Macaca mulatta: one gene and its partners. The protein of the gene in region 2 purifies or fractionates together with the protein of the main gene of each other region. This does not show direct contact. Links are inferred from orthologs where the notes say so. Each region holds a gene or a part of one and is shown on either strand. Other genes may lie near its edges.

What was found. Proteins that work in one complex are often made in the same cells at the same time.
Region 1: the proteins of POLR1C (region 2) and POLR3C purify together in Homo sapiens (affinity purification with mass spectrometry; 5 studies listed by BioGRID and IntAct, counting the BioPlex papers as one, with this or other methods). This does not show direct contact. The link is inferred for Macaca mulatta from reciprocal best matches to the Homo sapiens genes POLR1C and POLR3C.
Region 3: the proteins of POLR1C (region 2) and POLR1F purify together in Homo sapiens (affinity purification with mass spectrometry; 3 studies listed by BioGRID and IntAct, counting the BioPlex papers as one, with this or other methods). This does not show direct contact. The link is inferred for Macaca mulatta from reciprocal best matches to the Homo sapiens genes POLR1C and POLR1F.
Region 4: the proteins of POLR1C (region 2) and POLR3H purify together in Homo sapiens (affinity purification with mass spectrometry; 5 studies listed by BioGRID and IntAct, counting the BioPlex papers as one, with this or other methods). This does not show direct contact. The link is inferred for Macaca mulatta from reciprocal best matches to the Homo sapiens genes POLR1C and POLR3H.

What each region holds. Positions count from the first base shown.
Region 1 is NC_133406.1:119,471,984-119,476,315, reverse strand, and holds the start of POLR3C (DNA-directed RNA polymerase III subunit RPC3), read left to right. Parts: upstream 1-1,507; 5' UTR 1,508-2,196; intron 2,197-3,048; 5' UTR 3,049-3,068; coding exon 3,069-3,215; intron 3,216-4,059; coding exon 4,060-4,315; intron 4,316-4,332. Other genes in the region: E3 ubiquitin-protein ligase RNF115, read right to left, coding at 1,088-1,189. UniProt on the Homo sapiens protein: DNA-dependent RNA polymerase catalyzes the transcription of DNA into RNA using the four ribonucleoside triphosphates as substrates.
Region 2 is NC_133409.1:138,597,017-138,600,576, reverse strand, and holds part of POLR1C (DNA-directed RNA polymerases I and III subunit RPAC1), read left to right. Parts: intron 1-334; coding exon 335-454; intron 455-543; coding exon 544-696; intron 697-893; coding exon 894-1,043; intron 1,044-1,200; coding exon 1,201-1,317; intron 1,318-1,455; coding exon of another isoform or gene 1,456-1,574; exon of another isoform or gene 1,575-1,791; intron 1,792-2,613; exon of another isoform or gene 2,614-3,560. UniProt on the Homo sapiens protein: DNA-dependent RNA polymerase catalyzes the transcription of DNA into RNA using the four ribonucleoside triphosphates as substrates.
Region 3 is NC_133408.1:108,567,175-108,571,328, reverse strand, and holds the start of POLR1F (DNA-directed RNA polymerase I subunit RPA43), read right to left. Parts: upstream 2,826-4,154; 5' UTR 2,805-2,825; coding exon 2,551-2,804; intron 1-2,550. UniProt on the Homo sapiens protein: Component of RNA polymerase I (Pol I), a DNA-dependent RNA polymerase which synthesizes ribosomal RNA precursors using the four ribonucleoside triphosphates as substrates.
Region 4 is NC_133415.1:9,959,029-9,963,143, reverse strand, and holds the start of POLR3H (DNA-directed RNA polymerase III subunit RPC8), read right to left. Parts: upstream 2,826-4,115; 5' UTR 2,708-2,825; intron 2,588-2,707; exon of another isoform or gene 2,434-2,587; 5' UTR 2,414-2,433; coding exon 2,303-2,413; intron 1-2,302.

The DNA of each region.
Region 1 (4,332 bases), on a different chromosome or scaffold from region 2:
AGCTACAACCCAACCCAAAACAGCTTCTGGGTTTGTGATGCTGGTGCTGGCTAATAAGCTGCGTAAGTGTTGTTTGTTTTTTGTAGAGAGGAGTCTCACTGTGTTGCCCAGGCTGGTCTCAAACTCCTGGCCTCAAGCAATCCTCCTGCCTCGTCCTCCCAAAGTACTGGGATTACAGACCTGAGCCACCGCGCCTGACCTACAAAAGTGCTTTTTTCACAACCACAGCACTGCCTCTCAAGGAGCTAACAGTCTGGCAGAAACTCGTGAAAACCAATTTCATGTCGGAGGTAGCAACCCCAACATTCTATCCCGGCTCTTTTTCTTAAGTGAAGAAAGGGACAGGGTGGGGGGCGGAACAATGGTATTAAAGACACTAGCAACATGACAACCAAAATAAACGAAGTTGAAACAGTACGTCCTGCCTTCTTCCTAAAGCCATTTCCTTCAATAGTGATAGGAGTGCAGGCTGTCTGCAAGTCATTAGTACGCTGCTATTTTCACTTTCACAAGGACCCTGGAAACCTCTGAAGAGCAAAATCCTCCTTTTCGCCTCACAGATACCATCCAACCCCCTTTCTGTGCTTCCTTCCTTCCCCAGAGAAAACCGAATAGGGACAATCCTCAGCAATCCGCTATTTTGCTTCACTGACAAGGGAGGTGGCGGGGGCGGGGGGAGTGAAAAGTGGAAAAGAACGTAGAGGAAGGTGAGAAGACACAGCGGAAGGAGTATGGGGGGAGGTCATCGTGGGGAAAAGACCAGGTATAAAAGAATGCAAGAAAATTGAGGGGAGAGTTATCAGAGGGAAACTTGCTAAGAAAAAAATAATAATAATAAGGACAGGAGAGGTAAAGAGGTGAGATCAGGTGAAGCAGCCCACGATGAATTAAGAGGTGGGCAGGAGGTACGGGGCCGGAGCCGTGACGCCCAGGGTCTAGGGCCAGTGGCTGGAGAAGTGGGCAGCAGGTATTCGGCAGACCGATGTCCTGGGAGTCAAGGGTGTGCGGAAAGCTCCAAACCCAGTTCCGGGACATCAGAGCCAGGAATCTATGAGGTTCCCAAGTACAGAGAACACGGGGCTCTTACCGGTAGTTTGGGGCTGACCTCGCCCTTGCAAAAGTGGCAGAAAAACCGGTGGGCGGCTACAGCGGCGCCCGAGTCCGCCCCGGCCGCCGAAGCCTCCGCCATTTTTGTCCTCCGCCGCGGCCGTCCGAGAAGGCAGCCGGCCCGTCCCTCGCCAGGCCGCTACCTCCCGGGCTGCAGTAGCCACCGCCGCCTCGGTGCGGCCCACCGCTTCAGAGCCCGCGTCGGTCACGTGAGTCGGCCAGACCCAGAGAGGCGGCGGCGCCAACAGCAACCCTGCGGCCCGCCTCCCAGCACCAAATAGGCGCAGGAAGGAAAGGCAAACCTCCCGCCCGCCGGCTCCACAAACAGCCCCTCGCTGGTCCTCCAGCCTTCCAGCGAGAAGAAAGAAAGAGCGTCCCCGGAAGCCGCCGAAACTCTAGCGTAGAGCGGCACGCGCTTTTTGCCTTTCCGCGTCCTCTTCGGTGGCCGTCCTCTTCCTTGAAAGGGCGGTGGGCTCCACTTCCGCTCAGAAGGCCAGCGGGAGCCGCAGGAAGCCGTCGCGGGAAGTTCAGCAGCATTGGGGTTGGTGCCTCTGAACTGCGCTGATCCTGAGGTTAGTGGAAAATGCTGTCTGAACGTGGCAGCACTGACTGGACCAAGAGACCAAATCCGGAATGAGAACCTGTGTAAAGGGAGTGTAGAGCTAGGAGCCAAGCGTCTTGTAAGTCCTTTCCGAGGATGGCAAGGGATCTGGGAATGCTTCTCCAAAGATACGCGGATGGACGAAATAGGTCTCTGGTGATACTAAGGCTTCTTACGAATTGGAAGAAATAAGTAATGTTTGGTAGCAATTTGTAATAAGGAAGTAATCGTATAATAAACTACGTCCGTTTCTGATTGTGTCAACTTTATCAAGGAGTAGAAGTTTAAGAATTGAATGCTGTCCTGCAAACAACGTAACCTCATCTCCTATTTGACACGCCCTGTTGAGAAGCAGTCCTTTACCGCCTAAATTTCTTTTTCGAAATTATCATTTCCTTTATGAACTAAGAATAACACTGCCTGCTCACTTCCACCGGGCTGTGAACAGTGACCTTAATTCTTCCAAGCAATGAAGTGTAGAAACTAAGGTCTGTGACAGACTGCAAAATCATCTACTCCCAATCTTTAAAGAAAATCAGAATCATGCATAATCCCATAGAGGTATATTTGATGCACAGTCTTTTTCTATGCATACATTTTTCCTTTTTTTACAATAATTGAATCTTTATATTTTTTCAGCTTCTGTCACTTAATATATTATGAATAATTTTCCTCTTTTTGCTTTTTTTTTGTTTTTTTTTTTTTTTTGGAGACAGAGTCTCGCACTGTTGCCCGGGTTGGAGTGCAGTGGCGCGATCTCAGCTCACTGCAACCTCCGTCTCCTCACTTCAAGCGATTCTCCTGCCTCAGCCTCCCAAGTAGCTGGGATTACAGGCGCCCGCCACCACGCCAAGCTAAATTTTTTTTGTATTTTTAGTATAGAAGGGGTTCACTATGTTGGCCAGGCTGTTCTCAAACTCCTGACCTTGTGATACGCCCACCTCGGCCTCCCAAAGTGCTGGGATTGCAGGCATGAGCCACAGCGCCAGCCTATTATGAATAATTTTCTTCTACACGAATACACATGGTACTAAATAACTTTGTTGGCATAGTATGCCATTGTATGGGTATGCCATCATTTATTGTTAGACGTCAGATTGCTTCCAGTAAGTCTGTATTATAGAGAGAACTAATGACTTCATTATTATTAGCTTTTTATTCTTTCCTTGGATACAATATCCAAAAAGAAATTGTTGTTTCAAACATATGCAAGATTTTTAAGGCTTTTTGATATGTATTGTCAAATTGCCCTCCAGAAAGAATACATGAATTTACACTCAGCAGCTCTGCTTCCAGCATGAAAGACTTTCCATTGTACCGTTTTGGTGTTTTTTCCCTAGCTCTCAGACTCCCCAGTACCATGACTCAAGCAGAAATTAAGCTCTGTTCTTTGTTGCTGCAAGAGCATTTTGGAGAGATTGTAGAAAAAATTGGAGTCCATCTGATAAGAACCGGCAGCCAGCCACTAAGAGTAATTGCTCATGACACAGGAACATCACTGGATCAGGTATGTCTAAATGACATTAATTTTCTGTCATTTCACTAATTTATCTCACCCATCTTTGAATATTGTTCTTCTCACCCCAGAAAGGGAAAAATGAAGAAAACCTGCCCTGGGAGCAGAACAATGTTATTTGGGGAAGAAAAGGATGGGACTTAGGCATCAACATTTTGTTTCTCAAAGTGTTCCTAGTTCATGACAGCTTTTAGGCAAATCTTTGCTCTTCCCATGCCATACCTCGTTTATTCACAATAGGTCTTTTAATCTCAGTACTGCCTTTAAGGAATGAGAATGATGAAAGTAAATTGTGTTTTGAAAGATAAGGATCAGGCCGGGCGCGGTGGCTCAAGCCTGTAATCCCAGCACTTTGGGAGGCCGAGACGGGCGGATCACAAGGTCAGGAGATCGAGACCATCCTGGCTAACACGGCGAAACCCCGTCTCTACTAAAAAAAAAAACACAAAAAATTAGCCGGGCGAGGTGGCGGCGCCTGTGGTCCCAGCTACTCGGGAGGCTGAGGCAGGAGAATGGCGGGAACCCGGGAGGCGGAGCTTGCAGTGAGCTGAGATCTGGCCACTGCACTCCAGCCTGGGCGACAGAGCAAGACTCCGTCTCAAAAAAAAAAAAAAAAAAAAAAAGAAAGATAAGGATCAGAGTAAATATAGCAAGGAATCTTCCTGATTTATTGTATTGATGTCTGATTCTTATTAGCTACTCCAATGGAGAGAAAATAAGTGCAGAAATTATCTAGCCATTTTCTGATGCTTAGTAAGTTGTTGGACAAAAAATTTCCAGCAGTAATGAGCTATATCTTCAGGTCTTTCCTCTCTTCTCTTTATGTCCCATCTAGGTGAAAAAAGCCCTGTGTGTCCTCATCCAGCATAACCTGGTGAGTTACCAAGTGCACAAACGTGGTGTGGTGGAGTATGAAGCCCAGTGCAGCCGGGTATTGCGAATGCTTAGATATCCCCGGTACATCTATACTACCAAAACTCTGTACAGTGACACTGGAGAACTGATCGTTGAGGAGCTTCTGTTGAATGGCAAACTGACAATGTCAGCTGTTGTGAAGAAAGTGGCAGACCGGCTCACAGAGACCATGGAGGGTTAGTACTGTATCCAT
Region 2 (3,560 bases):
TTTTTTTTTTGAGACGGAGTCTCGCTGTGTCGCCCAGGCTGGAGTGCAGTGGCCGGATCTCAGCTCACTGCAAGCTCTGCCTCCCGGGTTTTTACGCCATTCTCCTGCCTCAGCCTCCCGAGTAGCCGGGACTACAGGCGCCCGCCACCTCGCCCGGCTAGTTTTTGTATTTTTTAGTAGAGACGGGGTTTCACGGTGTTAGCCAGGATGGTCTCGAACTCCTGACCTCGTGATCCGCCCGTCTCGGCCTCCCAAAGTGCTGGGATTACAGGCTTGAGCCACCGCGCCCGGCCAGATGTTTACTAGTTCTTAAGAGCTCCCTCCATTTGTGCAGGAGATGAAGACGGCACAGAGATAGATACCCTACGGTTTCGTCTCCAAGTCAGATGCACTCGGAACCCCCATGCTGCTAAAGATTCCTCTGACCCCAACGAACTGTATGTGAACCACAAAGGTAAGTAGTGGTAGGGTGAGGAAGAGGCCCCACCTGTGGGTGGCTGCTAGTTTTAGGAACTGAAATCTTTTGACATGTTTTTCCTCCAGTGTATACCAGGCATATGACATGGATCCCCCTGGGGAATCAGGCTGATCTTTTCCCAGAGGGCACTATCCGACCAGTGCACGATGACATCCTCATTGCTCAGCTGCGGCCTGGCCAAGAAATTGACCTGCTTATGCACTGTGTCAAGGGCATTGGTGAGAACCCTGTGTTCCTTCCTGGGAAGAGGGGTAGTTTGGTTGCAGTGGGGCAAGCTGACTAGGGAACTCAGCTGAGATATTCCTAGCAGGTAGAAAGCCAAGAGCATCGTGCTTTTGCTGTTAGCAGCTTAGGAAGAGTATTCTTCCTAATCCTAGAAGGGTTTCGTATAGGCACTTTCTCTCTTCCTCTCCAGGCAAAGATCATGCCAAGTTTTCACCAGTGGCAACAGCCAGTTATAGGCTCCTGCCAGACATCACCCTGCTTGAGCCCGTGGAAGGGGAGGCAGCTGAGGAGTTGAGCAGGTGCTTCTCACCTGGTGTTATTGAGGTGCAGGAAGTCCAAGGTATGGTATTTGGGGTGCTGTTCAGGTTAGGACCTAAATTATATTTTCTTTGAAGGTGACAGAAATAAAAACCCTGGGTTCCTAAAAGTATAACATGGTTTGCTACCAAGGGGCAAATTAGAAAAAAGAATAAAAAAACGTGGTTTGTTCTCATTAGGTAAAAAGGTGGCCAGAGTTGCCAACCCCCGGCTGGATACCTTCAGCAGAGAAATCTTCCGGCATGAGAAGCTAAAGAAGGTTGTGAGGCTTGCCCGGGTTCGAGATCATTATATCTGTGAGTATGAAGTGGTGAGATGAGTGGGCAGTACTCTTTGGTGCTGCAGCTTCCTTCCAGTCTAGATGTGAAGTTTGAGTAACAGGGGCTTTCTACAGGCAAGCCCCGCCTAGGCTAAAGTGTCTCTTTGATCCCCAGTCTCTGTTGAGTCAACGGGGGTGTTGCCACCAGATGTGCTGGTGAGTGAAGCCATCAAAGTACTGATGGGGAAGTGCCGGCGCTTCTTGGATGAACTAGATGCGGTTCAGATGGACTGAGCTTGGATGTTCCTGAGGCAAGCTGAAGCTTTGGGTTCTGACTGACCCACCCTACAGGACTGCTGTACAGAGAGCCCAGTGTGACTAGGGATCCTGAGTTTTCTGGGACAATTCCAGCTTTATTTTTAATCAATACATTTTGTTAAATGTGCCATAAAATGAGACTTTTAGGCCTTTGTAAGGCCTTAGATGTAAATAAACTCATGTCCAAACAAAACTTTTTGAGACAACTTTTATATTTTTTGAGACAGAGTCTCACTCTGTTGCCCAGGCTGGAGTGCAATGGTGCAATCTCTGCTCACTGCAACCTCCTCCTCCTGGGTTCAAGCAATTCTCTTGCCTCAGCCTCCTGAGTAGCTGGGACTACAGGTGTGTACCACCACGCCTGGCTATGTGTAATTTTTTGTATTTTTAGTAGAGAGAGGGTTTCACCATATTGGTCAGACTGGTCTCAAACTCCTGACCTCAAGTGATCTGTCTGCCTTGGGGCCTCCCAAAGTGTTGGGATTACAGGTGTGAGCCACTGCGAAAAACAGGGCCTCACTTCAGAACTGGTTTGACCTTTAGCAATTAAGAACATCAGATGTACACTCCAGCCTGGGTAACAGTGAGACCCTGTCTCAAAAACAACAAAAAACACCTCCTGAGAATTGGCAAATTAAGGTGGTTTCTGGGAGTACAGCCAAACCCCTAGAAAAACATTCAAGCTAGAGTGAATGCACCATTTCACCTGTCTCCCGGATTACCAGGGAAGTTCATGCCGCTATTGACAGCTCCAACAAAGAACAGTAGCAATTCCTTTGGGCCAGGCCCAGCAGCCACATATGAAAGACACTGTGAGAATGGTATGGGCTGCCTAGTCTGGGTGTGTCAGGATAGAAATCCTTTTCTAACTGGCACACCATTTCAGAAAGCTTGAAAGACCAGGTTCATCAGTCACATTTCTTCCTGTTCAGTCCCCTTTTGCAGGGTGCTCATGGAGTAACTCTGGAGTATGTCACTGGTTTTAAGACTAGGTTGAAAAAGGCAGATGGGTCCCTTTCTGTATGAAACTGAGACTTTTACTGACATGCAGATGTGCTTTGGAGTTAATGTTTCTACAAAAAGTTTCTATAAACAATAGAAAACTTCTAGCATGAAGTCACAGGATGTTAAAAATATTACAACACAATAAATACAACTACACCCTCCACAGCCCCAACCAGACAGGAATAGGCAGCTATCAGGTTTGGAGGGAAACACTCTTGAGATCGCCTTCACAATCCACAGGAACCCAGAGCACCACACGGGAAGAGGGAGCAACATGAGACTCCAACTTCTGCTTCCTCAGCTTTGCCTCTTCCCAATCTGACCCTGCCTCTGGCCCACACCAGCTAAAAACTATAGCTTCAGTCCACTTCGGCTCTCATGGAAACCCTCTTGTCAGTGGATTGGTGGACAACAGGTCTGTTTTTGTGCAGAGCACATGGACACACTGGTTTCTGTATGGATTAAGTCTGCCTTTATGGCCAGTAATAATGTCAGGGCCAGGTCCCATATCCGAGTCCTGTTTATAGGGCCTTTCAGTGACCTCTAGAATGGACTCACAGTACAGGTTGTGATGCGAAGGCATGTATTCTTTTCTTTTGGAGATGGTCTTTGAGAAAAGTAACCAGGGACCTGAAAGACCATGAGATTGCGGAAGGCACCTGGTCTTAGTCCTAGAAGACCAGTGGCTTTGCTAGCTGCTTATCACAGATATAGCCTAGTTGGTCTGTTTTATCCTTGGATGACAATGGTGTCATGTGACACTCTCTAGGGTACTGTGGCTCTTGTGCCTGAGTGGACCTTGAGGCTGGGGAAGCCAAACTGAGGGGTCATTCATGGAAGGGCAAGATGTGTGAGCTCTAAAGGGGATGTTAGCACTAAAGACTGCCCAGCCCTGGTCCTTGGAGGTACTATACTTGACACTGTGCCAAGTTTAGCAGTAGCCTATACCATGCGTCC
Region 3 (4,154 bases), on a different chromosome or scaffold from region 2:
GAAAATCCTAACTCAGAGACTTACTCGGGAAAGCAATCTTCTGAGGTTTTCATTTCTGCATGTGGCATTCCTAAGCTGGAATCATCCTATCACTAAGACAATGTTAGGGACACAGAAAACAGAGTCAGAGAATAGGAAGAAAAATTAACTGCCATACTAGACAGAAAAACAAATATTAAGACTTTATTTCTCCTAATCAAAGCCGTGTCTGGAAGGAGGTCTGTGGTCCCCTGGTGGGAGGGGGGACATTTGGAAATTTGTGATACTAATCATGGTTATCACAAACTTTGCACAAGCCAGGGCAGAAAAGAGTCTGTCATGTACAGGACAGTCGGTACAATGAGGAAATATCCTTAGCTCTGACTTTTGAATAAAAGGACAAATCTGTTTACAAATAGCTAGGAACCTAATTTAACTCTTAACATCAACACACAGCCATCTTTGCATATTTTTAATCTATATTAAATTGTTCAGGAATTTAGCAATATATAAATTCAAGGGGGATTTTGTTAAGAGTCATCAGATATGTGAACACAGGCACCCAACACTATATACTTTTTCTTCTTCACTTTTGTTTTTCAGATACCATCCTAAATAGGTATCAGGGCAAGATGGTAGCCTCACTTTAGTTCTTTAATACTGTATGTTCAATGTTTTGTCCCTCATTAGTAATGCATAGTTCAAAGTGTGGTGCCTGATTTTCACCTGGTGCATAATTTCACCAGGGGTCTTCAGCATATCCAAGTAATATGAAAGGAGTGGTGGCCAGATCTGTTCAGAGTCACTCCGCGAGATTTCGTTATTTCCCGCCCTAGCCTGTCAAATGCAGGCAATACAAAACGGTTACAGAAAACAGGATGGTTGCTTGTGTTTCCAGATGTTATGACTACTTTGTATATCCTTTAATCTCTCAAATCCATCCTCTCTAATCATTTTCTCTTGAACAATTATAACATGATCTTAATTCCTCTCCTTGTCCACTTTCTCATCCTATTTGGTAGCTAACCATTAAGTAAGGCTAACAAGTACTGTTTCTTAAACTGCAAATCTGATATGCCAGGAACTGCAGATAAGTACTGCGTTCTCAAAAGTGTACCAAGTCTCAGAGTTAAAGGGTACTGAGAGGATGAAGCACTAACCCTGCCTATGAAAACAGAAACACAAAAGGAAAAACAACAACAACCCCACCTTACCCCCAAAAGAACAAAAACTGGCAATGACAGGAAGGGAAAAGCAAAATGGCCATCCTCTCTGAGTCACCCCTGCCCTCGTCTCCAATGGCATCCAATGCCTTTCCCCTGACATAAACCTTATTCTACTTATATAATAGATACGGTTCTCTGGGCAAAGCATACCGGTTCACATCCAGTATCCGTTTGTTTATGCCACTCTTTGCCTGGAATGCTACCATGGGAAAGTACCGTCTTCACTCAAGTTGTTCTCAGAGGTCCCAAGATCCCAATTCAACACTCCTTATCTTGTTAGATTTCTGTCAAATTTTAACACCTTACTATTTATTGGCTTGTATTTGTATCTCTACTACAGCTTAAAGCTCCTTGAAAGAGGGATTTCATTTTTTGTTTGTTTTTGTATCTCAAGTGTTCGGTATATAATATAAACATACGAGAAGTGTATATTGGTGCTTGGAAGAAGCTGTATATTCTGGAGATGCTTGATTATTAACCTGTGTGTGGAGGTCAAGGATCCCTTAAGAAAGTGATAAAAGCTTCCGATACAGTGCCCAAGGAACTTCACATAAGAATTCCTGAAGGGCAGTCATGAATCCCTAAAGAATCCATTCACTCTAGTATTAGAACCTCGCTTTTGAACCAAAGTATAGTCCAGAGGAATACTGAAGCACATGCCCGCGCCCCCCGCCACACACCTCTGTAATTCTGTTTTCAAGGCACTTCTGAATACCGTAATATAAATGCATACCTTTTGTTTTTTTCTCTCCCAAAAGCAACAGGCTCATTAGTTCGATTGAATAAATCGTCTTAAAAACAACTCAGGTCCAAAAGAAGAGAAAATGGGGAAATTACCAGATTGAAATACAGTAAGAAAAAAACGTGCTTCACGTTTTACAGGTAGAACGGTTGTACTAATGCTTCATGTGCAATCTTCGATGGAATGAGAATCTACTTAAGCACTGCAAACCAAATTTTTATCGTCAAATGAGAAAACATCATCCGGAACGGGATAAATGAAACGTTGAATGCCAAACAGAACTGGGCCTACTAGGTCTCCAGACCCCTGGTCTGTTCCTACCCCTACACCAGGATTCTGGAGCGAGAATCTCCACTCCTTCCGCCGACACCTGAACTTCATCTTTAAGTTTTCTTCTCTATCTATGAAAGGGACCCTATAAAGATCTTCACCACAGTGGTACTGGCCTTGAGGGGCGGATCGCGACTCTAGAATTCCACGGGGCTAAGCTCTGGGGGGGCAATGCGACCTTTACTATTTGCCCCCTTTCTGCTGCGTTGTCAGCATATCTACCTGCTGCTACTTCCCGTGCACAAAAGAAGGAACAGGCAAAGAGATCGGTACCTCTCAGAATAGCGAAGGAGCTCCGCATCAAGCTGTTCTCGAATGCCAGTGCGTTTCCTGTTCAGGTAGCGGGGAGACAGCGCGATGTGCCTTTGGTGCGGCCCAGCCACCAGGCATGAGTAGCGACTGTTCACCAGCGCACAAGCAGCGGCATAAGTCGGCAACTCTAGGCAAGGCAGGACGCCAGCCTGCCCTACCAGAGACCCATCAGAAGCCGCCGTTGGCCGCGGCACCTCTGAACAACCCGCAGCCATGCCGCTTGTCAAGGTTCCCACGGCGCGCGCCGTTGACGCAAGCACAATCGCCTGTCCCCGACGCTCTTTTTACGTCATCCACCAACTACCACGCCCCTAGGAATTTCTCCTCCTTACGCTGTATTACGCCGCTCTGGCCGGCAGGGGGAACCGTATTTTCGCGCTTCGAGGACGGGAGCTTAGAGCCTGGGATATGCATTGAGCATGCAGGAAAGTCAACTGTCTGCTCTTTTAAGGGCAGGCAAATATGTGTTTTCGTACAGAAGCTTATTGGATTAAGTAGGCAGCTTAAAAAGGGGGGTTTTCACTTTGATCATTTCCAGTAGTAAGGTGGTTTGGTAGAATTTTACAAGCTTGGACTGTACAATAAAAAATCAAAATATTTATGGAGTGTATTTTATGCAGGACACGAAATCCTAAGAAGCAGGCCTGATAACTCTAATGCAACATATCTTAAAACGAACCTACTAGTTCTCTCCTGTCCCACTTCTCTCCTCATTATGCACATGCTAAATCAGGGAATTATACCACAGCCAACCTGTCAGCCTCGGATCCTCTTTTGTTTTCCCAAATATTAAATCAGCCTGAAGGCCTGTATTGCCCAAAGTGGATATATCATTCTGTTTGGACACTATTCTCTTTCCCTGCCGACAAAACCACAGGACTCCCTGCCTGTGGAAGCCTAGCTCAATGGTCAGGAGGACGCCCTGGGGCAGCCAGATCTTCCCTGAAACACATATGATTGTGTTGTGCCCTGTTTAAGCCCTACATAGGCACCCCACTTTCTCTAGGACAACACAAACTCCTGAAAAATGCTTATACAAGGCCATTTTGTGATCTGTGTGGGCACGCAGCCTCTCTCTTCAGCTTCATTTGTCACACTCCCCACCCTAATATTATGCCCCTTGATCCACTTTCAGGTCACTCTTTCTGCAGTCTTATGCTGTTCCTTCTACCGGGAAATATAATATTTTCACAAGGGTAAATTCTCCTCACGTATCAATTTTTAGCTTAGATTTTACATTCTGTCCCTTTGCAAAGAGTTTTCAACCACCCCACACCTCTTTCTCTATAAGGATTAGGTAGTTACCCATGCATGTTTTTTAAATGTTAATTTTATATTAACTGCCATTTGCTTGCCTGTTCCGTCAATAGATTCCTACACTCACTAAAGTGGGGACCATAATATCTGTATTATTCACTACAGTAGCCCCCCACATCTCATCCCTCCTCCAAAGAAAACCAAGAAAAACGCAAACAATGCACTCTGAATGAATAACCTGATAGCGAGTTAATAAATAATAAGTGATAAAGAGCTTGCAGCCTAAGTGGAAGTGGGATGTAAATGTA
Region 4 (4,115 bases), on a different chromosome or scaffold from region 2:
CCATGGTGGGTGTTGTACCCCTTCTTCTTTCTTCTTCTTTTTTTTTTTTTTTTTTTTGAGGCAAAGTTTCACTCTTGTCACCCAGGCTGGAGGGCAATGGCACGATTTCAGTTCACTGCAACCTCCGCCTCCTGGGTTCAAGTGATTCTCCTCCCTCTGCCTCTCAAGTAGCTGGGATTACAGGCGCCCGCCACCATGCCCAGCTACAGCTACTTTTTGTATTTTTAGTAGAGATGGGGTTTCACCATGTTGGACAAGCTGGTCTCGAACTCCTGACCTCGGGTGATCCACCAGCCTCAACCTCTCAAAGTGTTGGGATTACAGGTGTGAGCCACCATGCCCTGTCTGTATTCCTTCTTCACAGGGCCTGTGCACATGCCAGTTCCTGCCTTCAGGGCTCTTCTCTCCACCCAGCCCCTCCCACCCCAGAAAGGAATCCTCTGGTTGGCTCTACTTCACCATCAGATCTCAGTTCCAACCCCACCTCCTCACCAAAGCCGCAGGTTCCCTCATTCCAGGGGATGGTCCTTTGTTCCCACAGGTGTGTGAACATCTGTCCCTCATAGCATTTACCTCAATTTGTCACCACACCCTCAACTATGGACCCCTCTCATTCATATCTGCTTTTCCCAGCACACTATAGCTCAGAGCCTTGCCTCTGTTTCATTCAACAGACAAATGGCTGGGCGCAGTGGCTCACGCCTGTAATCCCAGCACTATGGGAGGCTGAGGCAGGCAGATCACCTGAGGTCAGGAGTTTGAGACCAGCCTGGCCAACATGGCGAAACCCTGTCTCTACTAAAAGTACAAAAATTAGCCGGGCGTGGTGGAAGGCACCTGTAATCCCAGCTACTCAAGAGGCTGAGGCAGAAGAATAGCTTGAACCCAGGAGGTGGAGGTTGCAGTGAGCCAAGATTGCACCACTGCACCCCAGCCTGGGCGACAAGAGCGGGACTCTGTTTAAATAACAAACAAACAAACAAACAAACAAAAAAACATAAAATTATGGAACATCTACTGGTGCCAGGCTCTGGCTAAGTGAGGGGATACTTCAGGGAAGAAGACAGATAAGTCCCTGCTCTCAAAGAGAGGGAAAGGAAAAAGTCTAAGATGGAAAGACTGATGCGACACAGAACACCTGGAAAGGGAGGACTGCCAGAGAAATGGCAGTGGGAGGACCTCTCAGCTGGCACTAAGGCACATAGGCACGGCGCAGAGATGGCGCACAAATATTGGCTGCTAGAATGAAGGGATGAACCTCCTGACAGTTAACTCTGTACTACTAGAACTGTTCATCTTCACAAAAACAATGCACTGGCCCAGAGCGGTGGCTCACGCTTGTAATCCCAGCACTTTGGGAGGCCAAGGTGGGGAGATCAAGAGATCGAGACCATCCTGGCCACATGGAGAAACCCCGTCTCTACTAAAAATACAAAAATTGGCCGGGCACGGTGGCTCACGTCTGTAATCCCAGCACTTTGGGAGGCCGAGGCGGCGGATCACGAGGTCAGGAGATCGAGACCAACCAGGCTAACATGGTGAAACCCCGTCTCTACTAAAAATCCAAAAAAAATTAGCCGGGCGTGGTGGCGGGCCCCTGTAGCCCCAGCTACTTGGGAGGCTGAGGCAGGAGAATGGCGTGAATCCATGAGGCAGAGCTTGCAGTGTTCCGAGATCGCGCCACTGCACTCCAGCCTGGGCGACAGAGCGAGACTCCATCTCAAATAAATAAGTAAATAATAAAAATAAAACTAAATACAAATACAAATACAAAAATTAGCTGGGCATGGAGGCGCGTGCCTGTAGTCGTCCTAGCTACTCGGGAGGCTGAGGCAGGAGAATTGCTTGAACCCAGGAGGCGGAGGTTTGCAGTGAGCCGAGATTGCGCCACTGCACTCCAGCCTGGGCGACAGAGCAAGACTCCGTCTCGGGGAAAGAAAAAAAAAAAAAAAACGAAACGAAACAAAACAAAAACAACAAAAAACCAATGCATGGCTGGAAGGACAGCAACATTTTATCCCCATTTTACAAATGGAAACTGAGGCCCAGAGGGGTTAACTTGCTTGCAATTGCAAAGTAATTTAGAATTGTAGAGTCTGACACTTCCAGTTACAACTCCCTTTTTTAAGCCCATTTTCTTTTGATCCCCTTCAACATCCTGTTTCACGGTGAACAGAAGTTCTGAGACATTAAGCCGCTTGCCCACGGCCAGGGCTTGGCATGACGGAGGCCAGGCCTGCGGCCGGTGGGCGGCGCTGGCTCTCCCGCGCCAAGGCCTGCCCGCGAGCCGTGGGCCCAGTACCTTGTTGGCCAACTTCTTGTTCAGCTCCTCGGCAATGGAGTCGTTGAGCTTCCTCTCAAACTGCCAAGGGGGGATCCGCACCGTGTCCACCATCTCCACCAGGACAAACATCCCGGTCTGCGCTGGGGGCTCTGGGAACGGGAGGGTCAGTCAAGCACCAGGGCCGGGGGCGGAGAGGATCCCCGAGCCCCTTGGTCCCGTCGCGGTCGCTGAGGCCCCCAGGCTGGCAGTGAGGCTGCACGGGGCGGTCTCGGGTGCCCGGTCCGGGCCATGCTCCGCTACTACAACGGGAGGAAACCGAGGCCAGAAGGAGGCGCTCTCTGTTCAGAGCTCCGGGTGCGCGCCCGCGCCGCGCGACCCCGCCACGCCACGCCCCGCACCCGCGCCACGTGCCGCCGCACGTACCGCGCACCACGCACCGCACACAGCCGCTCGGTTTTGCGTGGCTGCGGGCGAGATTCCGAATCCATCGCTTCCGGAAAACCCACCAATAAGAAGCCTCTGTCCGTCCGAGGCGCACAGAGCGTGTACCCGCGCACTGCGTGGGGCGGAGAGAGGGCGGGGGGGGGCGGGGCCTCCTCCTTTCACAGGAGCAGAGCGTTTTCCCAGCTCCCGACGGCGCTTTCTGGTTGCTAGGCGACCTCCGTGCAATACTGCCTGATTATCCCTCGCCTGGCCTGTGCTTTACCCGCCTTGCTGTCCTCCGCACAGCAGCAGAGTGATCCTTTGGGAACGCAAACATATATTACCACATCTTCTAAGTTAAAAAAAAAAAAAAAAACCACCGCAAACATAATATGCTTAGCACCCTTAAGTGTTCCGGAGACAAGGAGAATTGACAGGAAAGGAACAGTTGGGACTTTTCTGCGATGATGGAAATGTTCTGTATATTCTTTTCGGTGGTATAACATTGACGTATACAAGTGTCCAAACTAATTGAACTCAGGGCAAGATTTTTGCATTTATTTGTAGACATTATATCCCAATTGAAAAGTGATAATAGGCCGGGCGCGGTGGCTCAAGCCTGTAATCCCTGCACTTTGGGAGGCCGAGACGGGCGGATCACAAGGTCAGGAGATCGAGACCATCCTGGCTAACATGGTGAAACCCCGTCTCTACTAAAAATATACAAAAAACTAGCCGGGCGCGGTGGCAGGCGCCTGTAGTCCCGGATACTCGGGAGGCTGAGGCAGGAGAATGGCGTGAACCCGGGAGGCGGAGCTTGCAGTGAGCTGAGATCCGGCCACTGCACTCCAGCCTGGGCGACAGAGCGAGACTCCGTCTCAAAAAAAATAAAATAAAATAAAAAGAAAAGTGATAATAAATTGGAACAAAAAGTACAACCCATTGAACTTAGAATACTAAATCCAAGCCAGGGGTGGCGGTGCACACCTGTAGTCCAGTGATCTACAATCATGCCACTGCACTCTGGCATGGGTGACAGTGACACCCCATCTCTAAACGAAAGAGAAGAAGGAGAAGGAGAAGAAGGAAAAGAAGAGAAAGAAGAGAAAGAAGAAAGAGAAAAGCAGAAAGAAAGAAGAAAAGTCCAAAACCTTTATGGTAGTTCACATGGCCTTGCAGGATCTGATCATACCCCCTCCTATAGCCCCATCATGCTCTCTCTCCCCAACATTCCAGTCTCATTCGTCTTCACGTGATAGTTAGCATGGGCTAAAAGAATTTGGTAACTTGCCCAAGATCATGTGTTGACAAGTGGTAGAGATGGGCCCAGTCTGAACCTCACTACCCTGCCTTTAAAAACTGGTGAAGTGTAGATGTATACTGTAGTGTGTTTTAACCAAAATAACAA